Nothobranchius furzeri: one gene and its partners. The protein of the gene in region 1 interacts with the protein of each later gene in a biochemical or structural test. Links are inferred from orthologs where the notes say so. Each region holds a gene or a part of one and is shown on either strand. Other genes may lie near its edges. The genes, in order: parp1, macroh2a1, hmga1a, chfr, casp7, cebpa and casp3a.

Region 1 (3,500 bases):
GCAGCAGCTCCAGCGGCACGGAGCAGCGAGGGCAGAGCAGCAGGAAGCAGTTGATGACATGAAGCGGGATCCAGCAGACCGTGAAGAGAAACAGAATGAGGAAGAGAGACGTCACCATCTTTATCTCCCGGCGCATGCTAGCTGCGGCTCTGGTTTGACGCGCCGCCCCTCGGCCGCCCTGCTCTGGCCCGATGCGTCGCATCTGCTGCTTGACCGCAATGAAGATCCGAGCATAGATTAGGAACATGGCGAGCAGCGGCGTGAGCACGCATGCAAAGAAGTTGAAATACACCATGTAGGTCATGTCCACCACCAGGACGAAGACACAGTTGCCGGAATCGGGCGGCGTTTTGTGCCAGCCCATCAGGGGCACGAGGCCGATGAGGAAGGCCAGCAGCCACGTGGCGAAGATCACCAGGACGGCGTTGCGAGGCGTCATCAGGACGCAGTAACGGAAGGGCATGAAGATGGCGACGTAGCGCTCCACGGCCACGGCCAGCAGGCTGAAGATGGAGCTCTGTGTGAACATGATCAAAACGCTCAGCATGAGCAGGCACAGGTAGAAGTTGTGACGCGGCAGACCGGCGTCGGTCAGGATGGCGCAGGGGATGGCGACGGCACCCACGCAGATGTCCGCCACCGCGAGCGACACCAGGTAGTAGTTGGTAACGGTGCGTAGGCGGCGGTTTAGAGCCACAGCGGCGCAGACGAGTAAATTACCGACGGTGGATAAAAGAGCGATGATGAGCTCAGCCGCCACGTACGGCCGGTTGGGGGACATGTCTGCAGGTGGAGGTGATGGAGAGGAGGAGGGGGAGGTAAAGTTCATTGAGGAGGAGGAATATTGATGGGAGCTCCCCGACACGGCGGCGCCCTCCATGGTTTTCCTAAAGGAGAATAAGAATCAAGTAAAGCTGAATTAATGGAACATGATGTAAAGCAGCGGTTTCATCCCTCACCTTTAAACGTTAAGAGCGTGAGATCATATCCGTGTTGTCCCAACAGCAGCTGTCCACATGCAGACCACACATCAGGAGGTGGCTGATTTATTCATGTCCCCTCAGATCGGGGAGTTTGTCTTCACACCGACTGTTTCTGGACCATCATTAACTTTGAGTTAATGGTCTCGGGAGGAGGGAGAGAGTCCCATCAGTGGCGTCTGGGACCGTCCAAGCGTGTGCCGGCCTGTGTTTGTGTTTGTCCGACCACTGATGGGACCCGGGGGACGTGGTTTAATGAATAAAGGTGTCAGATTCAGGCTTGTTTGTTCCTCATCATGGCCGCTGTCCCTTTGCGACTCATTTAGGAAGTGAATGTTTTGCTTTTGTTTTTCTTGTTCGTCCTTGTCGAGCCACAAAACAACAAAGTTAACTGAAGTTTGTATTCCCTCAGGAAACGCAAAGGTGATGATGTTGATGGAGCATCAAAAAAACTAAAGAAAGAGGAAGAGGAGGAGAAGAATAAACTGGAGGAGCAACTGAAAGTACTTTGTTTTGAATTGATTTGACATTTTGGAGTGAAGTTTCTCCATAAGCTTAATGTTCCTCTTCATTCATCTGCAGAACCAAAGCCAGCTGATTTGGGGGATCAAAGACAAGCTGAAGAAACATTGTTCGATCAACGACATGAAGGAGCTGCTGATCGCAAACGCTCAGGACGTCCCCTCTGGAGAGTCCAACGTAAGAGAAGCTCCACTGGTGTTAATCTGGGTTTTTTTGGGGTGATTCTTTGTCTCAGAGGTCATATAGCTCTATAATATTGAGCTCAGTTTCACCCGGGAGATTCGTTGTTGCTCGAGTCATCTGGAGTCTTACGTGTTGTGTTTTTGTTGTCCTCTCAGGTGGTCGACTGCCTGGCTGACGGCATGGCCTTTGGTGCTCTGGAGGTCTGCAAGGAGTGTTGCAGTCAGCTGGTGTTTAAAGAAGACGCTTACTACTGCACAGGGGACATTTCAGCCTGGACCAAGTGTGTGTTTAAAACCAGAAGACCGGCACGCAGAGACTGGGTCACTCCCAAGGTGGGTCGCTTCGTCTCTTAACTCATTCGCTGCCAGCGTTTCTCGCCATTCTTACAGTTTTTTTTTTAAGAGTCACAGAACGTTGAGCGCTAAGATGACGTCAACACCAAAACAACCAAAACAAAGCGGAGACTCGCCTCTTACATCAGGAAGAATCTGCGTGTTTCGAGCGTTATCCGTTCTTTCATAATCTGTTGTTGAATTGTGATCGGCAGAAGCTTTTCCGGTTCGCACCTCACCTTTTTTTACAGCAGCGGCCCAAAACGATCTAACACATGCAGTGCGTTTACATGCAGCCAGTAACCCTTTTAAAACCCGAATATTCACAAAAACCCGGTTCCGCAGGTCCATGTAAACACCGCCAAAAACCCGGATATGCTCATAACCGGGTTGTTAAAAACACCTGGGGTAACCCTTTTCTAACCCGAATGTTTGGTCGTGTAAACGCATACCGGGATATCCCCATCAAAGCGTGTGTTCTGCGCATGCTCTGTTCGCAAGGAATCTTGGTCTTTTGAGTAGCGAGACGTCTTGTATGCGCCAGAACACCGGAAGTAAACAACAAGTTGGGAGCAACATGGCGAGTCGCGGCACAGCACCACACTTTTGGAGTGACGAGGAAACTAAAGCGCAAACAAACGCGGTCGCTATCTCTTCCGAACTGGGAAACATGTTGTTGTTTTCACGGATACCGGAACAAGAAGAACCGGAAATGAGGCATATTGCGTCTGGACGTAGTCCATACGTCCTGACGCTACCCCAACGTCCGCATTTAAATCGGGTTATGCAAGTTAGGGGTAACTCTTTCTATTTATGCTTGTAAACGGGTTATTCTGATCAACTCAGAAACCCGAATACCGACCTTAACCCGATCATAACCCGGATACTGGCTGCATGTAAATGTAGTCAGTGGGTGTTCTGCTTCCTGATCACGTGACGCATGCGGATGAAGATCGGCTTTAGAGCTGAGATGTTTGTTCTCACGGTGCGGGGGCTCGTTCCGATGCCCACACAGTAAAAACATGCAAATGACAACTTCAGTCGTCAATGGCAGTGAATGAGTTACGTTTTTTTTTTTTTTCCAGTTAATAATGTCTTAAACTACTAGTAGGTGTAAGCCGGAAGTGTTGGAGACAAGAAATGGTAAAAATAAAAAAGCTGCAGGTTGCCATCTGGAACGATGCTAAATTGGCACAAATGGTGCTGATGGGTCAGGAAATGGTACAAAGGTCTTTATCTGCTTTTTCATTCTTCTCTTTTTTCATTGAAATCTCATTCAATCCTGTTTCAGGAATTCCATGAAGTCCCTTTCCTAAAGAAATTCAAGTTCAAGCGACAGGACAGGGCCTACCCCAGAGAGGCGCCGGCCCAAACCCTGACAGCTGCTAAAACCGAGCCTCTGCCAAGTGCGTCCGGCGGACCGACGAAGCAAGGACCAGAATCGGCTCCTTCAGGTCAGAGAAACCCGACCCGAGTTTTGCTG
Region 2 (4,267 bases), on another chromosome or scaffold:
TGGTCTTCATAGATTTGCACATGTTTAAAGATCTATGTAAGGTTTATAGATTTGCGCAGGGTTCATAGATCTAGATATGTTTATAAGTCTGTGATGGGTTTATAGATTTTTTTCTGTGTTTACAGATCTAAGTGGGGTTTATAGATCTGTGCAGAGTTTATAGATATGTGAGATGACAGTAAAACTGACCTTTTGACCCAGGAAGAGGCTTTTTGTGGAGAGCACGGTGAAGCTGTCAGCCGGAGATCCCTCTGTGGTGCTGTCTGCTGACGCCGCCTTGCTCACCTCGCCCGGTTTCTGTTAAAGACGTAAACATTTGTGACTTTGTTATTCTCTCTGTGGCATCACTGATATGCAAAAAGACTAAAAAGGTAAAAAAAAACTATCTATAAAGAAACCTCAAACATATCAGGCTTTTTGCTGAGAGACACACCTTAGTCTTCCCTCCTGCCCTTTTCCCACTCAGCTTCTTAGCTGCCGTCTTCTTGACCGTCTTGGGTTTCTTCTCTGGAGCAGGTGACACGGGAATGTCCAGTTTGCCCCTTGCTCCTCTCTTCTTGGCCAGTAGCTCTGGATGGATGTTCGGAAGTACTCCACCAGCAGCAATGGTCACACCTTTGAGCAACTGACAGGAAAACAAAATGTGACATATGATATCTTACGGCACCAGTGAATAAATCTTATGTCTCTCTTTTAGTGCATTTGAAATTGGTCACCTGGTTCAGCTCCTCATCATTGGCGATGGCCAGCAGGATGTGTCGCGGCGTCACGCGACCCTTTTTATTGTCTCTCGCTGCATTACCTGCCAACTCCAGGATCTCAGCTAAAGATAGAATGACATAAACAAAATGAACACCTATTGCCAGGTCAAAACAAAAATTTGATATATATAAACATATTAAATTGAAAATAAAGTTCACCAGTGAGGTACTCCAGGACAGCGGCCAGGTAGACAGGTGCTCCCACTCCTATGCGATATTTGGGCAACCCTCTCTTGATGTAACGCAGCATGCGTCCAACAGGAAAGATGACGCCGGCCTTAGTGGACCGTGACGTCTTAGTCGACTTCTTCTTGCCTCCTCGGCTGGACATGATGCTAAAACTGTAACCAGTGGCGGGCTCTGCAGAGGAAACCAATGAAACATGTGAACAATGATTACTTGTACTTTATGGTAACATGGTGCATGTAAAGAAAATTAATAAAATATTCATTAGACTTAAGTGAACATTGCCTTAGAACGCAACTCTAAATGATCAAAGATTCTCTTTTAAGAGTAAAACTGAATTATTTTGTTCATTTATCCTTTTCCTGGTTTTAAATCAGAAGAATAATGTATGACTACTTATCAATAAAGACTGTATGTGGCCACTAAATGCTGCCTGTTTCGAAAAAAATGAGAAGCTGCCTTGATTAACATGACTGAGACAAAGGGGGTGTGTGTTGGCAAGAATCTGGTGATATGATACATATCACAATACAAGGGAACAATATGATATATGGCAATACTAAAAGCTAGGCAGTATTTGAGATTTTTAGGACTGAATTTGTTTAAACACTTGTAAAATCTCATTACTTCGTCATAATAAGAGGTGGAAAAAGATGCTGCCCCCTAGCAATCGGAGTATAAATTGCACCAAACAAAAGAAATACAGAAAATATTTGCCAGTAAATTCACTAAAATGTCATTTGATACACTGCTTCAATTACGTATCATTAACACAAAACACTGCAGTGTTTTGATGTTTTCTTACATCCACAATAGATAAATATTATTCCAGTGATGTTAGGTAATGGTCACTAATCCACTGAAGGGTTTGGTTGATGTCACCTCGTGCAAAAAAATAAATAAATGAAATCTATGTCATTGTCATGCTCTGATGCCCTGTGGGAACTTATGCTAGATGGCATTTTCATCCCTGGAACGGTCGTTTTTAAACGTGCATAATTAAAAACGTTTGGATATCTGCATGAAAACAAACTCAAAGTCATGAAATATAAACAAAACGGTGGAGGAGATCAATATTGCAGCGCCAGATCGGTTAGTCACTGGCAATCGGTTATCCGACACCACAGGCCACGCTTTTCCCGTTCTCTTTTTTATTCTGCTCCAACACAAACACCACCTCATTACCATTACACGTGACGTTAACCCGCGGCAGCTACCGTGTTCTAAACCCAAAGACCGCTAACGCAATCCATTTGACTTGAAACATCTGCGGCATTTCTCCATCCAGCCAGGTGTAGGTAGGTTCATCAGCGCGGAGGGCATTTCCCTGTCCGCTGCTGCCCGCTGACATCCATTTCCGCATGTCAACAGCAGCCGAACGTCTCGCGCGCATCTTTCGTTTCAACCAAAGTGTAAAACGACCGAATTGCAGCTGTCCGGCGACACGGGGGGTGTTTTCCCGTACAGGTCAGCGAGCTTTCGGATGGAAATTACCCCGGTGGATCGGCGGCAGCTGCCCGCTCCTCCTCCCCTCCCCTCCCCTCTTCTTCACCGCCTGTCAGTTCCAGAAACACGGTCTCCGCTCTCGGGCCTCCCATGGCAGTAAGGGACAAAACGGTAACGTTAACAGCTCCATTCGGTGCACGAGTACATGCTCCACCGACGAGAGGCGACACTTGGTAGACACGGAGCGGGGGTACTTACAAACAAGCGGCGGCAGAGGGAATAATTCTCCCGTTCACCCGGTAACAAGCCTGGGTAGTGTCCCCGATTCCCACAATCCACAGCGAGCTGGTAGAACGGCGCGAGCCAGGCTGCCCGCGGAGCTCGACCGACCGCTGTGATGATCTTTAACCTTTTACGCATGTGTTTCTAAACACCTGATTAAACAGGAAACACGTCCTCTTTACGCGGAAATAGCTTTTATTTTTTTTATTTCAGCTTCTAAACAAACTTAAGATACATTTAAGTAACCTTTGCCCTCGTGACATGCTCCTGAATGAACCCTAATTAACACACTTGTTTTTATTTAATCACACTAGTTTTTATTTAATCAATGTTAGATTAGCCTTACAGTGCTGCCACAAAACTAGCTCAAACATGTTCCTTTAATGCTAGTGTGTCGGAACATTACATGATGGTCAAGTGTTTTTCCTTTACTGACTAGTCAGCAACGTTCAAGGGGAGTTCAAAGCCTTTTGAAATCCAAATGACTGATTGGATTAATTATTTTTCATTTGGGGAAGAACTGTGTCATCAATGACTGACTTTTAAAAATAAACGATACGATATCTTCACTTTTATGATTTTCTTCATATTCTGTGGACTCCACTAACTCAGCTGACAACACTACATTTTTACACACCATAAAATAAACTAAACAACTGTGAAATCCTTTATTCTTCAAATTTCTACAGACGATTGAGTAATGACAGCATCTTGCCACTAGAGGTCACACCTAAGCTTTTTCTTTGTAGAAATATCATAGACTGTACATAGAAATATTCGCAAAATCAAGAAAATCTGTGTATTGAAATAAATTGATCGTATTAGTTGATCATATAAATCAGCAAGAGGCTTGTGTATAATAATTTAAAATTAAAATGTACTTTCCTGATGATAGTATTGATATTTTTACCTCACTCCAGACCATACATAGCCTAGTGAACTATGGACCAAGTTCTTGCTTTGCAAAGTTTGTAAATAATACATTTATTCAGCCTGGCTTGCCAGGCTAGACCATACACACACTTTTTAGGATGATGTACATTTTGTGTTTTCTTTCCATACTTCCATTGATTTAAAATACAATCATGCAAATAAAACGTTTATTATATTTCCGTTAAATCAAAGCAGTAATTGAAAAATATTTAATGCAAAATTTTATTCTTTTCTTGCATTTGAGATGTGTGAATGAAATTCCAACCAGTTGACAAATAATTCACAGCACTGCCTTATGCCTTATCAGTCTGAATGTTTAAACTCTGACAACAGGGAGTGAAGGTCTGATGAAACATAACAATAGCTAACTTCATTTCTGTCATCATATAGAGGCTCACATTTCATATCACTTGTGCAGCACACCAATAGATTTTAAGTTTATTCTGAAAATGCAAAATCTGACATGAGAGGCAACCATCGAGGGCAACATGCTCTTTGAATCAGATCCTTGCAACAGTTTTCAAACTTGCATGAGTATAGGATGTATTGTTAAATAATTTACATTGATAATGGATCACATGGTGCAGCAGCACACAGGCTTGAAGTTAAGTTCTGATCCTTCAGGGAGTGTCTTCTGATAATTAATGGCATAAATGGAA
Region 3 (3,935 bases), on another chromosome or scaffold:
TAAAAAGGTCAATATAGCTTTAAGAGGGTCTTGCTGTTTAGAGATGATTTTCATTCTCAGCGACGTGCTGGGGATCTGTCGTCCATTTGCAGATTAGCCTGTAGATGGCAGCCGTACTTCTGCAACAAGACCGATCGAAAGGGGGCACTGGGTTCATTGGCTATTATCTGGACGGCCGACAGGAACTGCACACGGGGCACTCCAGTTCGCTGGCCACCTGGTCCGAGGCTCAGAGACAGCTGGTGAAATCGAGTGGAGACAAACCCTACAGCTTGGCCCGCACTTCTAAACCTATACCGGTGCTTCCTAAACTCCCTTATTCACTCCATCTCCCATACGTAACAGCAAATGGCGCGCACACACAGGGGAGCTAAAGGGTTGGGGAGAGGGAGAAAAAGCAGTTGTTGCTATGGAGACGACAGGCAGAGAGAAGAAGTAGGGCTGTGTGCTGGTTGGGGGCGGAGGGGTGCTTAGTGTCAGCCTGGAAACAGTCTTGCGGCCTCTGCACCTGCACCACACAGTGCATGACAAGCTGCAGGAAGCTGGAGGACAGGAAGTACAGGGTAAATATCAGGCCCCCCCTTCCACCCCCAAATAAAGCAGTTAACCAAGATTTATTGGTATTGATAATCACTTTGCCGCCCCCAATAGGGAGTCATGGCCGGGCTATTTGTGGCACCTTGAACTGCAGCCAATAAACATATATCAACAGCAGAGGATGAGGTTAGCTGTTGCAAACTACGGGAATATAAGTTTCAAACAAGACGAGCAATGACTTACCTTGCCCTTGCCAGCAGTCTTGTTTTTGCTGCCCTTTGGTCGCCCTCTGGGCCTCTTTGGAGTTGGTGACCCACTTGGCTCCTGGATATCAAACAGGTTATAGTTAATATCAAGAATGTTTTAATAGATGCCCAAAAAGGCTCAATTTTAGTGCACATCAAAACAATTGAAATCAAAACAAAAACTGACTGAGCAATCTGGCTGAACCGTAAACATCAGAGGGGACTGCCATAACATCTGAAAGTTCAGCAAATTCATGCACAACTCGTGGTTTAAACCGGCGTCATGGCCCACTCGTCTTCTGTTGCTCGTCTGATGTGTTGATCATCACAGCTCTTAGCAACCCAGCAACTCAATAGTAATACACAGCAGGCCAAGTGACATCTATGTGATCCACTCTGGGCCACAACTCTCCTATGTAATGCAGAAGAGGATGAGGGGGAGGTTAAAACCAGTTTAAAGGTGTTAGGTTACTGGTTGCTTACAAACTGGTGAGACATGCTGGGAATTTGCTGTACACCTCAGCAGTGGAAAAGCAGGGGGCAAATGGCCACAAGGCCATGCTCCTGCAGTCTGGGCTATTTTATTCTGGTCTCAAGACTCTGATATGCACAAACCTGCATGTGCGTCTAACTGAGCCTCAGCGATCACAAGAGGACCTGAGGCTCAGCACCACACCGGCCTGGTTCTGCATGCATTTAAGATCAAGTTTATTCCCATGGCATGCAAAAATAAAAATAAAAAATAATAATAATAATAATAAAACGACGGGGTGGTAGAAAATCAGCTAGTATACCAGAATAAATAGACACTACTTACGTCAGAGGTTTTCACCTCGAGCGATTTGCGGGGTCTTCCACGCCCTCTCTTCTCTGCCGCCTCCTTCTCTTTCGGTGAGACTGTCCCCTTGTCGCTCATATTTGCTCTTCCAACCTGAATGGATGATGATGATAATGATGATTTAAATAAACCCTACCGGCCGGCCTTGATGCTGCAAGAGGCGTCGAGTTCACACAGAAAACTGAGCACAGCGTGTACCCGTGAGCCACTAAACCCACTGACCGCAACAACAAACCAAAGATGACCGACCGCACCACGCACGGTTTAACCCAATTAATCCGCGCTGGTTTCCAGGTCTATTTCCGTCTCGTCTGCGCTCTGCGACACAAGAGGTTTACGCAGAAAACCGATCACAGCAGGCTTAACCTGCAAAAGACCACAAAACCAGCCAATTCCCTCCGGTACCGACCGCGCTTATAGGCCCCGCAGGAGCCCAAAGACCAGGCCTGCGCACGGAACCATCTCAGAGCAGCGTGTCTGCACGCCTGGGCCGCGGAGAGATCCACCGACACTCACACACCACAATGGCCGCGGCTCGTTTCTGGTTGCAGGCAACAAGCTTTGAGCTGAATGGCTTTTTAAAAATTAAGTGGCGGAGGGGAGAGCAGCAACCGAGGTCTCCGTGTAGCGGAGCGAGCCCGGACCGAAGCAACAAAAGACGGCTGACAACGTGCCGCCGTTTCCCGCCGGAGCTCCGGGCTGTTTGTAAAACCGGTGGTCGCATCCCCACTCACCTTTGTCACGGTGCTATCGCCTCCGTGCTAAACTCAGGTAGACTTGTTTCCGTTTGAAGCCCGGCTGGTGCGTACCCGGTTAAAAAGCTGATCTATAGGCTACAGCTTTTATTCGTCAGACAGCCCGCCCATTTAAAAAGCCCAGCTCACGCGCCTTAAAAACACACACAAACCCATTTAAATAAGCGAAAAGCTGAACTTTCTGCATTTTTGTACATGAAACATATTTATTTTTACCAGCACGGTGAGAAGTTTAATCCAAAGGTTTCCCTCGGTAGAGCACGTGCGTCTCGCGCAGATAAAGGAATGAAAGGCGCCGGAGTCGGACAGGAGGAGTTTTTGGACAATTTAAAGAACCGCCCTCAGGAGAGCGGGAACACTGGAGGGCGGGGATATGATAACGAGGGCCACCAACAGAACCAGAACAGCCCAACCTCCACTCAGCACCGCCGGTGTTCCGACTATCCGTGCCCCCCGTCGAAATATTATACTTTGGGGAAATGCGCAGCGCCTGCGCAGGCCGATTATTGCGTCACAGGGTGTTTACAAGTCGAGACGCGCTACCTGTGGAAGTTTACGTTTAATCTCGTCACTTATCTAGTTACTTTCAACTCGTCGAAGGTCACAGTACGTATTTCTTTAAGTTGTTATATAAAATTATTGCTTACTGTATGTTTACCGGACAGCTTGTGAATGGCTTCTAAAATATCGTTATTATAATGTAAACAAGACATTTCTCCCATTGTTTACATTCATTCTGAAAGAGTCCCAAATTAATATCCAAAAGTTTTATATTATACATATAATAAATTTATCATAGTTGTATAATAATCTCCAAAATTATACATTCAAACAAATAACTAAGTATTGGGGGGAAAGCAAAGTGAGTTAATTTGTCTAATAAAGGATTATAGAATGATAAGAGCTAACGTCTTACAAATCTCCATTTTTATGAATCACTTTCTTGACATGGGTGAAAGTAGTTGGTAAATCGTCATTGTTTTAGCATCTAAGGGGTTTTACGAAATGACTAAATTGCTTACAATCCACTTTTTTCATAAAATAAAATTAACCTACATTGTGTCATAGCCTCCACTGTCATGGCGCTTGAACTATGATGACGTCCCCCAATGTAAACAATCCCTTTGCTCATGTTTAAATAACGAGACTAAAAAGTAATTTAATTTATACATATTATTTAAATATATTAATAATATTATTTTGTACAAAACCCAAACGGAAACAATGCATGTGGAGCTAATTTTAATCTAATTTTCTTTTATTTGTTGTGCATTAAAGAAAAAACAATTATGTTTCATTTAAAATTCAAATGACATTTTTGAGCAGCTATTTCAGAATTATATTTGAATCTTAATTATATTGAGGAGTTTTTTTTCTTTATGTTGATTTTCCTTTCTTTTTTTTAATTATGCTAATCTTTAAAACATATTTGTGTATTCATTTTGTATGAAACCCTAAGAGAAACAGTAAATGTGGAGCTAATTTTAATCTACTAGCCGAAGTTTAGTTTGAATGAAATTAAATCGTAAACTCCCTATGAAGCATCGCTGATTTTCTCAA
Region 4 (4,098 bases), on another chromosome or scaffold:
AGGAGTCACCTGAAGAATTTATTAACAGCATCATAATTTATCAAAATATTAAACAGGTCCTTCACTCATGACTTTAATACATTTGCAGTGGTCTCTAGTAGGAATGAATGCCTTGTAAGTTGTACTCTGTGTGGGGCGGGAGCTCAGATGCACCCGTTTCAGGAACTAGAAGTGAGCCAGATCAGAGCTGAGCTTCAGACTGCAGTTTGAGCTCTTATTTCCTGATATTTGGTCACCATGCCTCTGATTGCTCTGCAACGTTGAGTTTTTATTTCCACAAATGACTCGAGTTTGAAGGAGTTCTGCTGTGTTGTGGAGTTGCTAATGCTAACGGTTAGCTTCTACTAGTCAAGATGTTGTCTACCGTTTCCTGGATGCTAAACCAACAACAACCTTCTGTTGTGAGTCACGATAGGTGAGTCCAAAGAAGTGTAAACAGGAATTTTTCCGTTTTTAACAGGATGCGGTGCAGAAAAAACAAACTGCAGTCTCCCTTACCAGAAGATGAAAAGGCTGCTGTTGCCATGGGAGATGAAGAGGGGGGGCTGTTAATACAGAAGAGAGAAGCAGAAGTAGAAGGCTGAGCTTCTTCCTGAGCTGTATCCCGAGGAGCCTTAGAGAGCATCACAGGCTCCACAGAGAGGGACATCTCTGACGTTGGGACAGGTGACAAACACCGAGCTGAACCCTCCAGACCTCACATTCAAACATACGAGACGGAAAAGTTACTTAAGTGGCACAAAAACAAAAAGATGCAATACTTCTGGTTGCACAGGTGACTTCCAACTTACCATAACTGGAAAGTTGTGGTAAGCTCATAACGTCTTGATCCATTTTGATAGAATGGTAAACATAGGCAATGTCTGCAGTGGAACAGGAAAGTGTGTCTTTTCTATTGAAACTCATTTAAACAAAGATATGATTCTTGCTGCTCACAAACTGGGTGACTCACTTTGTTCTGGCTCACTCTTCCTGTACACAAAGTAGATGACATCACCGTTTTGCAGCATGTGACTTTGCTTTTTAACCAGTTTGGACATGTTGATCACAGTTCCATTAGTGCTACAGACAAAACAGATCAGTGTTTCAGTAAAACACCAGTGTGCACATTTAAAAAGGTGCACAGCTTTACTGTACCTCATGTCTTCAAGCCACACCAGCCCTGAGCTTTCATTCTTTACTATTTTGCAGTGCTCCCCTGAGACCAGTTTGTTGGCTGGAAATGACAGATGACACCCTAAAACAGAAGAGAAACGACAAATGCAAACAAATCTACCATAAACAAATGTTTTCTGCTTTCAAATATAGCATCATGTTTAGCTTTCCTCTCCTTTAAAACAAAGAAAGAGCTAAATTGTCCGACACAATGGTGTAATGTAAAATCTTCAACCTCATCTCTAAGCCCGAGTTGCCATGACAGCTTTAAATCATTCATTAGCCAGACATAAGCTAACTGATTAAGTAATGCCAAGTCTGGTGGCTTTGCATTATAAAAAAACGTTGATTCCCCAAAGCTCTCGACAACAAAGCAGACACAGGGGGATATATGGCCCTAACCTCTTCTAAAGCAAACCCGTACAAAAAAGCTCTACTTAATATTCTTCACACATGTTGTCAATAGACGCCTTTTGTTCCCGTCACAAGGGTCTGTCTAAGTTTGCTGCACTAAAAAAGGGTTTGTGTTTTTAAGGGGGAGGTTGTAAAGGCTCCAGACACTGACTGGCAGAAACGTCTACACCACAGGACTGCCTTTCATTTATAAAGATTTTCCACTTCTGGAGTTTGGACACCAGGGTAAAAAGACATTTTTGTCAACATTAGATTTATGGCAAAGAAAGCATGGTGGATCACAGGGTAAAAGACTAACCTTTTTTTCTGCCAACTGTGCATTCCTTATTGAAAAGCAGAACAGTTTCATTGGAATCAACTTTGACTAGTTTCCCCCAGGGTCGTCCTCCTCTGTGAGTGTCCATGGCTCGATGTTTTTCCTGAAATAAAATTAAAAATTTTAAATCAGAAAACAAGTCAGGAGACATAAAAATCTGGTTATTTCCTAAAACTGATATGGGCTGTGGAAGTAAAGAGAAAGTGATATTAGAGAGGCAACAAGGATATAAATCTGTATATAGCCATTGAGCCTAAATTATACACAGCATATAAATATTTGTACTACAGCTATTGTCTATTTAGGCGTTAACCCACTCTCAGAAGCCAGTTTGCATCTAGTTTTAAATTACAGGCTGATGTAACTCTGTTCCTACGGGATAAGTTGACAGAAGCTCATAATTTTGACAGTCAAAAAGAAAAACTAGTACTGTAAATAAATACAAGCCCAACAACCATATACACAATGGCAAAGTAAATAAAGAGTTACAACCATAACAAGCGCCGACTAAACTCAGCTCTGAGATTTTTGATAAATGTTTTTAACTAAAACTTGATTTGATCTCCGGGACAAGCTGGGAAGACGTGTAGTCTGTTCTCTTGACAAATATCAAAGCTTCAAAACTTTCCATGATGCAACACAACAGCCCAACACTGAACTTTGTTCCTAACAACACTGGGCTAACGACACTGCTAGCATTAGCATCGACGAGAGAAACCCAGCGAAAGACCCTCACTCAGACTAACTATATGTACGGTTTCATTTGTAAACCCGTCTGTTACTTTACCATCAAACCCGCGGTGTGTTCTCCCAGGTGTTTCGGATTAAACAGCGTCTCCTTCTCATGTTCTAGCTAGCATAGAGCGAAGCACTTCCTGCAAAGCTCTGAGCTGGCCCCATCAGAGGAGGGGCCCCGAGAGCTGCCTGCTCGGAAATGTTCACCAACGGTTTGTGTCAAAACAAAAGCAAAAACAAAAAACTCTGATATTCATTTAAGACACTAAGTTTTAAAGGCCACATCATGACAGAAATGGTAAAGTTAATAAAATGATTATTTACTTTAAATGTCAAAAGTAATTATACCCCTTCTCTTTTATACCAGAATATGGGTATAATAACAGCAGCAGCAGCAACAACAACAACAACAATAATAATGATAATAATAATTTATTATTATTATTATTATTATTATTATTATTATTATTATTATAAAATATATTATTATATAAAATACAATTTTATGACTTTATTTTTTCTGACGTTAATCTGTTTGTTCTGAGATCATTATGTTTTATTTTGTTTTGATCTATGTGAAGCACTTTGTGATGTAATAAGTGCTACATAAATACAATTTAGTTACTACATACATACTTATTAAAATAATAAAAACAGAATAAATAGACAGATTCAGGAGCACTATAGATTTTTTCCCCTCTGCATTCTTTTATACATTTTTTCTTCTTTTTGTCCATAATAACACCTCATGAAGCCTACTTGAATCTTACCTTCCAGGTCGGATATGTCCAATGTGTGGTCCGTGGGCCATCTGCGGTCCTCAGACTGATTTTATTTTGGCCCCTCCTAAGCACGGATAATGGTTTTGCTTATCCTGTAGGCTGTTGATGTAAACAAACACTTTTACATTGGATTATTTATGTGGCCCTATTTTTTAGTATTACAAATAAAATAAATCACAATACCCTCGTCTAGGAATGTCTCTACCCCAATTAATGACATGTTGGTTCAGGTAGTAGTTCATGGTTGATGAATGAACAGTAACAAAGCATTTTGGACTTCACTTTTATGACCTTTGACCTCAAAATAAGGCTCACATTATCCTCCTACATAATTGACTCAATCTTTAACCAGTGAAAACTCCTTAGCATGAATCCACCAACAGGACATGAAACAACACTTTATCACAAATAATCTGTATTTTTTCCTCGTGGTCACCTTTTTTATACTTTTGACCGCATGTCATTCTTGGGTTTCTCTTTATTGCAAGCTTCAGTACAAAGAACAACAAAAACACTCTATTAGATGTCAGTAGTTTAAATAGTTTATTCAGCACTCCAGACCAAAGCATTCATCCAATAACTACAAAGATCCCTGCAGGAGTCTGTAACTATGGCTGAGACACAACATTTCAGTTCACAGGTTTTCCTGTCAGAGCTGAACTTCTGACTCTACAGCAACGGTAAGAAATGTAAAAA
Region 5 (3,500 bases), on another chromosome or scaffold:
CGATGACCACGCAATGTTGCAGAGATGTGTCAACCACAACAGCCCTACAACATCCATAGCCTTGAGATACCCAGGACGAATCTCATCCGCCCCCGGTGCTCCACCGCTGTGTAGTTGTTTGACTACCTCAGCAACTTCAACTTCTGCCCCTGAGATTGGACAGTCCATACCCAGGTCTCCAGGCTCTGGTTCCTCCTCAGAATGCGCGTAGGTGGGATTGAGGAGCTCCTCAAAGTATTTCTTCCACCGTCCGACTATAGCCCCAGTTGACGTCAGCAGCTCCCCATCCCCACTGTAAACAGTGTGAGCGAGTTGCTGCCTCCCTCTCCTGAGGCGCCAGACAGTTTGCCCGAACCTCTTTGGAGCCGATCGACAGTCTTTCTCCATGGCCTCACCAAACTCCTCCCACGCCAGAGATTTAGCCTCTGCAACTGCCACTGCTGCACCCCGCTTGGCTATCCAATACCTGTCTGCTGCCTCCGGAGACCCACAGACCAGCCATGTCCTGTAGGCCTCCTTCTTCAGCCTGACGGCTCCCCGAACCTCTGGTGTCCACCAGCGGGTATGGGGGTTGCCACCACGACTGTCACCGGCCACCTTGCGACCACAGCTAGCTACAGCCGCCTCAACAATCGCAGAGTGGAACAAGGCCCACTCTGTGTCAATGTCCCCCACTGCTCTCGGGACGTGGTCAAAGCTCTGCCGGAGGTGGGAGTTGAAGACCGTCTTGACAGCTTCTTCTGCCAGGCGTTCCCAGCAGACCCTCACTATGCGTTTGGGTCTGCCAGGTCTACGCGGCATCTTCCCCTGCCATCTGATCCAACTCACCACCAGGTGGTGATCAGTTGACAGCTCCGCTCCTCTCTTCACTCGGGTGTCCAAAACATACGGCCGCAGGTCAGATGATACAACTACAAAGTCTATCATCGACCTGCGACCTAGGCTGCCCAGGTACCAAGTGTACCGATGGGCATCCTTATGTTCGAACATGGTGTTCGTTATGACCAAACTGCGGCTTGCACAGAAGTCCAATAATGAAACACCACTCGAGTTCAGATCAGGCAGGCCGTTCCTCCCAATCACACCCCTCCAGGTCATGCTGTCATTGCCCACGTGAGCATTGAAGTCCCCCAGCAGGACAATGGAGTCCCCTGATGGAGCACTATCTGGCACTTGTCCCAGGGACTCCAAAATGGGTGGGTACTCTGAACTGATATTTAGCCCACAAGCACAAACAACAGTCAGGACCCGTTCCCCGACCCGAAGGCGCAGGGAAGCTACCCTCTCATCCCCAGGATGAACCCCAACACACAGGCAGAGAGTCTTAGGGCTAACAAAAAGCCAACCCCAGCCCTCCGCCTCTCACCCGGAGTAACTCCAGCGAAGTAGAGTGTCCAACCCCTCTCAAGGACTTGGGTTCCAGAGCCAATGCTATGTGTCGAGGTGAGTCCGACTATATCTAGCCGGTACAGCTCAACCTCTGCCACAAGCTCCTGCTCCTTCCCCGCCAGCGAGGTGACGTTCCATGTCCCAAAAACCAGTTTCCTTATCCGGGGATCGGACCGCCAAGGCTCCCGCCTCGGTCTGCCACCCGATCCACATTGCACCGGACCCTTCATGTTCCTCCTGCAGGTGGTGGGTCCACAGTTGGATGAGCCCATGTTTCCAGTTCGGGCTGGGCCCGGCCGGGCCCCATGGGCGAAAGCCCGGCCACCAGGTGCTCGCTCACGGGCCTCAACCCCAGGCCTGGCTCCAGGGTGGGACCCCGGTAACACTCCAGGCCGGGTACTCCAACTCCTTGATAGTTCATCCATGAAAGAGCCTCTGAACCGTTCTTTGTCTCACCCTTCACCTGAGACCAATTTGTCATGGGAGACCCTACCAGGGGCACAAAGTGCCCCAGACAACATAGCTCCTAGGATCATTAGCGCACTCAAACTCCTCCACCACGATAAGGTGACGGTTCAACGAGGAGCTTGAGTACTCCTCCTTGTTTTTATTTTTTATTACTTTTAAATTTGTCCTGCATTGTTTTAAACAGGCTCTGATTATTTACCTTTTTACAGTGGTTTTTAATTGTTTTATTGTCTTATTTTTAATTTCTTTCCATATTTAATGTTAAGCCCTTTGGTCACCCTCTGGGTTGTGTAAAACGCTATATAAATAAACATTCATTCATTCACACATTTCACTGTAATATTGATTTGTTGGTAATTGAAAAAGTAGCATGAGATACTTTTAGAGGTGACTATTTGCTTCTAAATCACTGTTAGTATTGTTAGCTCAACGTTAGCCTCTAGCCTTCTTCACTTGATATTAAGAGTTAAAAAAGATGCTGTGGCTTCTCAGGGCTACGCTCCTGTTCACTGGCTTCGGTTCTTTAAACAACTCTGGAGCCTTTTGCGTGACACAATAGAATTACAAAAACTGGTGCTGCAGCAATAGCTCGGTGTAGACTCACCAAGCTCACAAATTCGCTGATTTTCATCCGTAACTACGTCCCTCTTTATTTTAATTGAAAGGAGAAAAACTAACAACCCCCCAGCCAGCTGAGAAGTTAATCTGTTTCTATGTAGCCTTCCTTCCAACATGAGACATTAGACTGTTTAGTGATTATTTCACTGGAGAATTCTTACATATTGAACCTTTAACTTTTTGGCCACATAATTATTTTAAATCAAGACTTTTAAGGTTGATACCTGGATGAAGAAGAGTTTGGGCTTCCCAACTAAGCTTTTGCACATGTCTCCTCTGAACAGCGAGGTCATGGCCTTGATGGGCATGGCGCCATCTGTGCCATAGATCATGCCCTCCTCACCATGGCTCAGCAGTATGCAGGCAAAACACGAACTGTCGCTGTGGTCTTCCTCTGAAGCTGAAAGACACATACAACTTAACTCTCAGCTTATCTCAGACACATCCAACCTCTCTAAAAGGACCCAATCACTAAACTCATTCTACTCAATCATCAAACATAATCTCGTTTTGTTATTCAAGTCAATAATATGCTCATCAAAAGCATAACATATTAAGAAACGTCAATAGAGTACATTTTTTCTGCCAATATTTATTTCAAAGTTTTAATTTGTTGTGCTCTAGTGAAATATTTAGGGAGCTTTTCCAATAAAAAAAACAAAGTTAAAGGATCATCATATATGACTGTTATATGATTGGACTTTTAAGACTGTTAAAACAAAACGATCATATTTGGTTGGTGAACTCATATTTGGTTGGTGAATGTTTAAAAAGAATATTTTCTCTAAGCTACACCAGGTCTGGTTGAACTGTGATAAGCCCTTCTTAGAAGACACGCCATGCTGGCAAACTACCGTAATACACCCGCCACGGTCTCCTCATCTGCAAGCTCATCTGTTCAGGCTGGCTTTTGCATGACCTTCTGTTGATTCTTCATCACTACCTTCTTTTCATTCTGCTGTTTCTACCAATTCTGTCTTTCTCATGATCCCATTTTACCTTTTCTTGTTTATTTTTGTCTTCCT
Region 6 (3,931 bases), on another chromosome or scaffold:
GCTCCTTTGTTCGTCTTGTTGTTGAAACTTTTCTGTGTGCCGCTGCTGGAAGCTGAATTTTCCAGAGGAACCTTCCTGAGGGATTATTGAAGTTCCTTCGGAACATCTGAGGGAGTTCCGATTTTACGACATGATGGCAGGTCGCCTGCAGCAGAGTCATGACACAAACAGAACCTTAAAGCACAAACTGAGGGAATAATAATCATTTAAATACACAGGAAACAGAAGCTGGAACCAGTAGATCAGCTGTCTGACGCCTCATTAAGCAGCTGGTTTTAGAGTAAAAATGAATATCTTTGACTTAGTGTGTGTGTGTGTGTGTGTGTGTGTGTGTGTGTGTGTGTGTGTGTGTGTGTGTGTGTGTGTGTGTGTGTGTGTGTGTGTGTGTGTGTGTGTGCACATAGAGCCGAACACTCTCAGAAGAACACCAGAACCAAATTTGATAAAACAAGTTTCTTTATTACTTCAGATTTTGGTTTTTCATTTATATTTTATGTTTATATTACAGAAATAAACAACAAAGTGCTTCTTTCTTCCTCCCTGGAACAAGTCAGAGAACCATCTGAGGGATCGGACAAAGGTCAAAGGTCATCTGAGCGATCAAAAGGCACTGAGTGAAGATGACTGCAACAAGCAGGAAGATGAAGAGTGATGCTGAAACCTGGTTCACATTTAGCTGTTCTGATCACAATAAAACATGTTTAGAGGGGCGTAGTTCTGTTGGGTTCTGTCCAGAACCTGTATCAGTACACCCCCTCCCCATGATCAGTACCATCACTGCCTCCCCATGTCCCACAATGTATCTGGCTTTAGTGCATGAGAGCTTCAGTCTGAACAGGGTCAGGGTTGGGCTTGCAGGGCTTTGGCGGTTCTGTTTGTAACGGTTTCAGTACCGAACAACCCTCAGCCTGGCTTTGCTAGGGTCATTCAGAACTAGTTTTATTAAACATGGGTTCTGGCTCTGACCCAAACTCCCCAGACAGTTTATCTCTGGCAAGTGTGAAGGTGAGTTTGATACCACGTGGTGTCAACAGCCAATCACCTGCAAAACACAGTTCAGCCAAGCAAACAGCTCAGAAACAGGTTTCGGTCCGGTTTGGTTCCGTACATGAGATCGTTTGTGATTAAATAAAATTCTGTAATGAAGGCGTCGTGCACGCAGGCTGGTCCCGCACTAACCTCATCGTAGCTGCACTGAAATGTTCTGAGTGGTTCTGGACTCAGTCTGTTTAAGGCACTGAACATCTGATTCAGCTTATCGGCTTTTGCACAAACGTTAAAGGCACGAGAACACGACAAACAAATAAACAAACAAACAAGTTAAAAGTCTCCAACGGGTTCAGTTTGTTGATGGAAGAGTTCCGTTCTGCTGCTCTGAAGATTAAAATCATCCGGAACCGAACCGGGTCTGTTAAGTTTTCTGCTCCTTGACCCAAAAGTTCTGCATATGTGCAGCTGTTTTGAGAACTCAGCTGCTTCTGTCTCTAAACAAATCCAGCACTCTCCGGTCCAGTCCGATTCAGATCTCTCAGCTGCCCATGGGTTTGAACGACCCGTCCGGCAGCTGTCTGAAAATGCCCCGTAACGTGTCCAGCTCCCGGGTCAGGTGCTCCACCCTCCGCCTGAGCCGCTCGTTGTCGGTCGTCAGCTCCACCACCTTCTGCTGGGTCTCCAGGTTCCGCATCTTGGCCTTGTCCCGAGACTTACGCACAGCCACGTTGTTGCGCTCGCGCCTCAGCCGGTACTCCGGACTGCTCTTATCCACGTGTTTCTTAGATTTCCCGCCTCCCCGCTGCTCGAGCAGCTTCATGCCGCCCTGCTGCAGGTGCTGGTGCGTGTGGTGATGGTGCGGGCTCGGCACTGGAGTCGGTGGAGGCGTCGGGTGGCCCGGCTGGAGGTGCATGGTGGTCTGCGCGCAGTGCGCAATCTGGTACTGCAGGTGCGGCATCTGCGGCTGCTGCTGCTGCTGGTACTGCTGAGGATGCGCGTGCGGGTGGTGGTAGGAAGGGGGCATGCCCGGGTTCAGGTCCTCGTCATCCCGGGGCTCCTGCTTTATGGCCACCGGTCGGAGGCGCGGCGGGTTGTGCTCGTAGAACGGCTCCAGCTTGGACTCCATGTAGTTAGGCATGTAGAGCTGCTGTGGACCCGGACCGCAGTCATACTCTCCATTCATCATCTTGACTTTGTCCTGTCGCGAGTTGTGGTGGAACAGGTCCGCCAGGAAGTCGTCGTTGAAGGCAGACGGATCGATGTAGGCGCTCAGGTCTATGGAGGTCTCGTTGTCTCCGATCTCCCCCCCGAGGTCAGACGGGTCTCTATAGCCGGAGGGGGGCTGCTGGCCGTGGGGCAGACTGCTCAGCAGGGGCCGGGGCGCGACCTCGTACAGGTTCGAGAGCTCCATGGAGAACCTAAAGCCGGGCGGGCATGGCGAGGAGCTCCGGAAATCCAGTTTGGAAAGTCACACACTCAGGTGAGTCGGACCGCTGCGGACAGGAGCCGACCGGAACCAGAGTCTTTAGGACTGACTGACACTTTGTGTTGGAACGAAGAGAAGCTGCCGGTCCGATTCCTGGTCCTCAGTAACCTCCGAGCTGTCAAACAGCGGTTTTATAGTTGGAATGGGTGGGCGGGGACAACACCACACTCCTTCAGTCTGTCTGACTCGAACCCCTCCGGGACCCGGGTGGGACAACAGAACCCTGCAGGTTCTCGGAACCGATCATGATCCCAAGTGTTGTTTAAGGAGTTTGGGTCTCGCTCCTAGACTAAAGGTTCTGATCACCTGATGCGGATCGTCTCCCGAACTGCACCACCCCATCGGAACCAAAACGCTTGACTGATGTTTCGTTTACTTAAAAAAAGGTAAATTAACCAGAATTAAATTAGAATAAAACTTTTGTTTGTTTCACAAAAGAGTCCTGTGTGTGCGCACGCATGTTTTTATGCGCGTAAGTAAATGCCTGCCATACCTCTGTGTATGTGCGCGCGTTCACACACACACAAACACACACACACACGCGCGCGCGCGCGCGCGCGTGTGTGTGTGCGTGTAAAATGCGGGATGCAGCGCCCTCTGTCGGACGCAGACAGACACCGTCTGGTCTGATGTTGGTTCTGGTTCGTTTCAGACCGTATAGAACCGAGCAGAGATCCAGAACATCTCGCACCATCTTGGAGACCTTTGAAGGACCTTTTCTCCTTCAAAAACAACCGCTGGATCCTGTGTTCATGACAGAGATGCTGTTAGCTCTGTTCTGCTAGCATAGCTGGTGGTCTCCATGGTAACGCTGTTGGCTACATTAGCATAACTCCTGTTAGCATAAATAAGGGTCGGTTAAAATGCCATTTCCTCGTCATAAAGATAGTGTGTTTGTTTTAATGAGTATCATTTTAGTACAACATGTAAAATTAGAAATTAGCCCAAATAGTTGTAATAAGTCTATTATTTCGTTGTAAATAAAGAGTGATATTTTAACCACATAGTCCCCATCTGATTGTCTCCCTGAGAGGACATGTGTCTCTGTCTCACTGACATCCGAGACACATATAAAGACTTGTCTTACTATAAACACATCACAATCATAGAACCACAGAACCCATCAGAACTATCTCTGAACATTTGTGATATGGGTTCCTGGGATCAATCTTTAGGCTCTGCAGAATCTGAACTGGTCCTATAGCTTTATCTGAACCTGAACGTGAACATCTGACGCACTCCTCAGGAGATGTATTGAGATGTGAGGAATCCCCCACTGAGACAGAATCTCTGGGTCTGGTTAATCCAGGAACATGGTCCAATAAAAAACCATATGAAATCTTTTAAGTACCTAAAACCTGAGAAGATCCAATCTGATCATGGTTGTTTGTTTTTGTACAGGCATAAAGAGCTGGTGAAACCAGAACTGGTCCAGTTCCAGCATCATTCAGCTTC
Region 7 (3,500 bases), on another chromosome or scaffold:
TTTAGCACTGAAACTGCTTTAAAAAACAACCTTTTTAAGGTTGTGTACAAATAACAAAACAGGCTGCTGTGATGCAAAAAGGTGAATTCCTTTAGAACTAGTCCACAGAGTGAGAAACTAATAATGCCAAGCCAGGCAGATGAAACTAAGATGTTGCATCACTTTTTGATCCCAAGAAATTTGATTTTTTTTTTTCCCCCATCACAGCTTAGAAGAAATACATCTCTTTGGTCAGCATTGACACAACGCAAGGGATTTGCTTCTTTGCATGAAAGCCTGGTGAATAGGAGACAGACTCGAACTCCACCGCCACCTTGTGGTTGACACGCGTCATGATGTGCTGCAGCTCCAGCTGTTTCCCATACATGCTGATCATTTCACACAGTGACTGGATAAACCAGGAGCCGGTCGTCGTGTTCCTCCAGGAGTAGTAACCTGCACATGAACGACACATTAGGGATTAAACCAAGACGGTAAAATAATTATTATACAAAAAAATCCGTGGTAAGGGTTTAACCTGGAGCTGTGGAGTAGGCATACAGGAAGTCTGCTTCCACAGGGATCTTAGTGGTTCCTCCTGGACTGTCTGACTCAATACCTTCATCCAGATCGGTGCCTCTGCATGCCTACACCGTTCAAATGTTTTTAGGGGTTAGATACTTAGCAAATAAAGATGGTGTGGACAGATGAAAAAAATATATCGTACCTGAATAAAGAAAAGTTTTGGTTTTCCCACCAGAGTTTTACAACAATCGCCTCGAAAAATAGACGTTAAGTGCTTTAGCTCTACGGAGTCATCCGTGCCGAAAAACACGCCTTCATCTCCATGACTCAGGAGGACGCAGACAAAGGAGGCTGATTTGCTGTGATCTTCCTTAGACACTAAAAAAGACAAAGAAAAATTTTGGAACTATGCATGAACTTCACACTTCAAAGATGGTGTCTCACTTTTGGAAGATGCAAATATGTGTTGGAATGATGGGACTGGTGCATCGTGGTTACCTGCAGTCAGAACCTGAACTATCTGACCGACTGTCTGATCGTTGTAGACCTTCACTTTATATCCCAGCTTAGAAAACACTTTGGATGCGTTGGCTGCATCCACGTCAGTGCCATTCCGCTGATTCATGCCTAACACACACACACACACACACACACACACACACACACACACACACACACACACACACACACACACACACACACACACACACACACACACACACACACAGAGGGATTAATGCAGGTGTCATGAGTTAAGAAATGACGAGTTACCGTTGTTTTGGGGAGGTTTTTAAAATGATAAAGTCGTCTCACACATCACATGACCCCAAAGTACAAGGGTAGGCTAAAAAGTACAATAAATAAATCTAAATTCTAGCAGGTGTCACTAGCTAAATTTGTGACCTGATAAACCACATAAACATGAAAACAAAAAGTTTGACTCTTATTCATCCTAAACTGCAGTCTAGTTTAAAACAAGCAGCACAAAAACAGCACTAGCCACTGCTAACATGTACCTTTCCTCAGTACTTCCAATTAAACATTGCTCTTTGAATGGTGTACACTCTCAGTCCTGCTGGACTGGTTTTCCAAACCCAGACAGGACAACACGAGGATCACATGTAACTTCGTGGAAGCAGAAGATGCATTTGCACGCATGGATATTTGAGCTCCTCTTAGACAAATACACAAGGATCTGACAGATCAGCTTATTTAGTACAACGAGAAAAGAAATATCTCAATCTAAAGTCGACACAAAGCCTAATTAGGCAGTATGTCCCAAAGCTGGGATCGGGACCCCACTGTAGGTCACCAAGAACCACTCAAAAGGGTCTTGAGATGATTCCCAGAAATCAAAACAAAACTGATAATCACTGAAAGAATAACTGTTATAAAAACTCAGTTAAACCATCATAAATGGATATGAGTGAACATTCTTTAGCTAGCTTTTAAGATGCTTGTTTTGTCAAATCGGAAACATCTGGGCCCATGTGTCTGCGTGTTGATAACGGATATTTTGTGGGTCTGGATCTGAAAAGTTTGGGAAAGCATCAAAAGATGATGTGTCAACATCACAAAATTATTATGAACACCTAAATAAATCTATGAAAGCGTCATGAAACCATCTAATTTTTGTACATTCTTGATTATCTAAAGGAAAACTACAAGATCATTTAAAACACACAGTGCAATCATGAGTTTGAACACATTCACTGTAAATCTTAGCCTATAGGAAACCAGCTTATATGTAAATAGTCGGGCAACAACCCATAGACAAAGCTTAGTTGTGGGGCAAAACCTATGGATGCCTTTCAAACTGTCAGCGCACACAAATGGACAGCGCTAGGACCAATCAGAGCAACACACAACATGACATACTCATCGCTGTGGATCTCAGTCAATGGGGCAGCCCGCCATACACCGCCAAACCAGAAGTAAACACGTCCTCTTTCTAAACAAACGACTTAAGCACCGCTCTATGCTCATGTCTTAAAGAAAAGCCCAAGTCTAAATCATTCAAAGTTGATGCCAAAGCTGTTTGAAATGAGCGCCGTTCCTGAGCTGATGCCATCTTTGTAGTTTTTCACCGTCACAGCTCTGGTGCGAAGCCTGCCCAATATCTCTCTACAAACATAGAACGCTGTGACTGGCCTGATCTAAAATGGTTTGAGCCAGTGGTAGACCTGCTAGGCTGCATGGGAGTGTGGTTAGACTGTCCCGCAGAGCAGAATGTTCTGCTGCTGCTACGGTTTGTCTAGATTTCTAGGCTATGTAAATCTGTCAGCATAAGGAACAAACAACCACTGGCTTTAAGGCGTAGGTCTCATCAAGCTAGTCACATGGATGCTACAACTTCCTGATAAACCACAGTAAACACCCCAAACCACACCCCCTTCACGTGGTCACACACACACAAGTTCGCTGTGTGTGTGTGTGTGTGTGTTCGTGCGGCAGCTACCAATACACACCTCTAATATAAAAGATGGATGCTTTATCTCATTATTACTGCCTACATGTAGATGGAGCATTTAATTAATTATTACAGTTTCCACAACGACACGTCCACCCTGAGTCTTTCAGCTAGCTCTGATGTCTTTTAAGTACACATGACTGACCTGCTGTAACGCCGAGCACAGGGTGTCACCATCAGAACCTGATCACCTGGACGTTTTTGGCCCAAGTCCAGCAAAACACAAAGGAGAAGGTAGAGACAGACAAAAAAAGGGGCTCTGCTTCCTTAAAACGACTTGTGATGACACAAGTGATATTTAAGATGTTGAAGAGCTTTAAGGTTTATCTGCTTCACTGTAAAATAATGTAGATTTAAACGCATTAAAGCAACTTATGGCATGACTGATCCACAAAGGAAAGTCAAATCTGAGACTAGTTATGACCCGGTAAGGACAGCCAGAAATAAAAAACAGGCAAATAAAAAGAAATGTTGGGGCAAAAATAATCATTTTGTGTTTGAAATGTTAAAATCAAATTAGAACAAG

Evidence for each region.
Region 2: the proteins of parp1 (region 1) and macroh2a1 form a complex in vitro, tested with the Homo sapiens proteins (2 studies listed by BioGRID). The link is inferred for Nothobranchius furzeri from reciprocal best matches to the Homo sapiens genes PARP1 and MACROH2A1.
Region 3: the proteins of parp1 (region 1) and hmga1a form a complex in vitro, tested with the Homo sapiens proteins (2 studies listed by BioGRID, with this or other methods). The link is inferred for Nothobranchius furzeri from reciprocal best matches to the Homo sapiens genes PARP1 and HMGA1.
Region 4: of the proteins of parp1 (region 1) and chfr, one has a biochemical effect on the other in vitro, tested with the Homo sapiens proteins (2 studies listed by BioGRID). The link is inferred for Nothobranchius furzeri from reciprocal best matches to the Homo sapiens genes PARP1 and CHFR.
Region 5: of the proteins of parp1 (region 1) and casp7, one has a biochemical effect on the other in vitro, tested with the Homo sapiens proteins (3 studies listed by BioGRID). The link is inferred for Nothobranchius furzeri from reciprocal best matches to the Homo sapiens genes PARP1 and CASP7.
Region 6: the proteins of parp1 (region 1) and cebpa form a complex in vitro, tested with the Homo sapiens proteins (2 studies listed by BioGRID, with this or other methods). The link is inferred for Nothobranchius furzeri from reciprocal best matches to the Homo sapiens genes PARP1 and CEBPA.
Region 7: of the proteins of parp1 (region 1) and casp3a, one has a biochemical effect on the other in vitro, tested with the Homo sapiens proteins (9 studies listed by BioGRID and IntAct). The link is inferred for Nothobranchius furzeri from reciprocal best matches to the Homo sapiens genes PARP1 and CASP3.

Annotation. Positions count from the first base shown.
Region 1 is NC_091742.1:4,983,945-4,987,444, forward strand, and holds part of parp1 (poly [ADP-ribose] polymerase 1), read left to right. Parts: coding exon of another isoform or gene 1-880; intron 881-1,392; coding exon 1,393-1,483; intron 1,484-1,562; coding exon 1,563-1,679; intron 1,680-1,840; coding exon 1,841-2,017; intron 2,018-3,308; coding exon 3,309-3,471; intron 3,472-3,500. Other genes in the region: adorb1a (adenosine A2c receptor), read right to left, coding at 1-880. UniProt on the Homo sapiens protein: Poly-ADP-ribosyltransferase that mediates poly-ADP-ribosylation of proteins and plays a key role in DNA repair.
Region 2 is NC_091750.1:54,263,315-54,267,581, reverse strand, and holds the start of macroh2a1 (core histone macro-H2A.1), read right to left. Parts: upstream 2,801-4,267; 5' UTR 2,652-2,800; intron 1,122-2,651; 5' UTR 1,093-1,121; coding exon 921-1,092; intron 824-920; coding exon 717-823; intron 626-716; coding exon 434-625; intron 298-433; coding exon 190-297; intron 1-189. UniProt on the Homo sapiens protein: Variant histone H2A which replaces conventional H2A in a subset of nucleosomes where it represses transcription. Nucleosomes wrap and compact DNA into chromatin, limiting DNA accessibility to the cellular machineries which require DNA as a template.
Region 3 is NC_091755.1:54,122,793-54,126,727, reverse strand, and holds the start of hmga1a (high mobility group AT-hook 1a), read right to left. Parts: upstream 2,801-3,935; 5' UTR 2,592-2,800; intron 2,510-2,591; exon of another isoform or gene 2,355-2,509; intron 1,714-2,354; 5' UTR 1,699-1,713; coding exon 1,600-1,698; intron 862-1,599; coding exon 781-861; intron 1-780. UniProt on the Homo sapiens protein: HMG-I/Y bind preferentially to the minor groove of A+T rich regions in double-stranded DNA. It is suggested that these proteins could function in nucleosome phasing and in the 3'-end processing of mRNA transcripts.
Region 4 is NC_091757.1:31,985,046-31,989,143, forward strand, and holds the start of chfr (E3 ubiquitin-protein ligase CHFR), read right to left. Parts: upstream 2,801-4,098; 5' UTR 2,676-2,800; coding exon 2,673-2,675; intron 2,487-2,672; exon of another isoform or gene 2,381-2,486; coding exon of another isoform or gene 2,378-2,380; intron 1,989-2,377; coding exon 1,868-1,988; intron 1,238-1,867; coding exon 1,138-1,237; intron 1,063-1,137; coding exon 953-1,062; intron 864-952; coding exon 792-863; intron 697-791; coding exon 499-696; intron 1-498. UniProt on the Homo sapiens protein: E3 ubiquitin-protein ligase that functions in the antephase checkpoint by actively delaying passage into mitosis in response to microtubule poisons.
Region 5 is NC_091756.1:38,344,439-38,347,938, forward strand, and holds part of casp7 (caspase-7), read right to left. Parts: intron 2,876-3,500; coding exon 2,700-2,875; intron 1-2,699. UniProt on the Homo sapiens protein: Thiol protease involved in different programmed cell death processes, such as apoptosis, pyroptosis or granzyme-mediated programmed cell death, by proteolytically cleaving target proteins.
Region 6 is NC_091749.1:66,139,277-66,143,207, reverse strand, and holds cebpa (CCAAT/enhancer-binding protein alpha), read right to left. Parts: upstream 2,801-3,931; 5' UTR 2,402-2,800; coding exon 1,529-2,401; 3' UTR 439-1,528; downstream 1-438. UniProt on the Homo sapiens protein: Transcription factor that coordinates proliferation arrest and the differentiation of myeloid progenitors, adipocytes, hepatocytes, and cells of the lung and the placenta.
Region 7 is NC_091744.1:19,590,126-19,593,625, reverse strand, and holds part of casp3a (caspase-3a), read right to left. Parts: intron 1,132-3,500; coding exon 1,003-1,131; intron 883-1,002; coding exon 707-882; intron 627-706; coding exon 518-626; intron 436-517; coding exon 209-435; 3' UTR 1-208. UniProt on the Homo sapiens protein: Thiol protease that acts as a major effector caspase involved in the execution phase of apoptosis. Following cleavage and activation by initiator caspases (CASP8, CASP9 and/or CASP10), mediates execution of apoptosis by catalyzing cleavage of many proteins.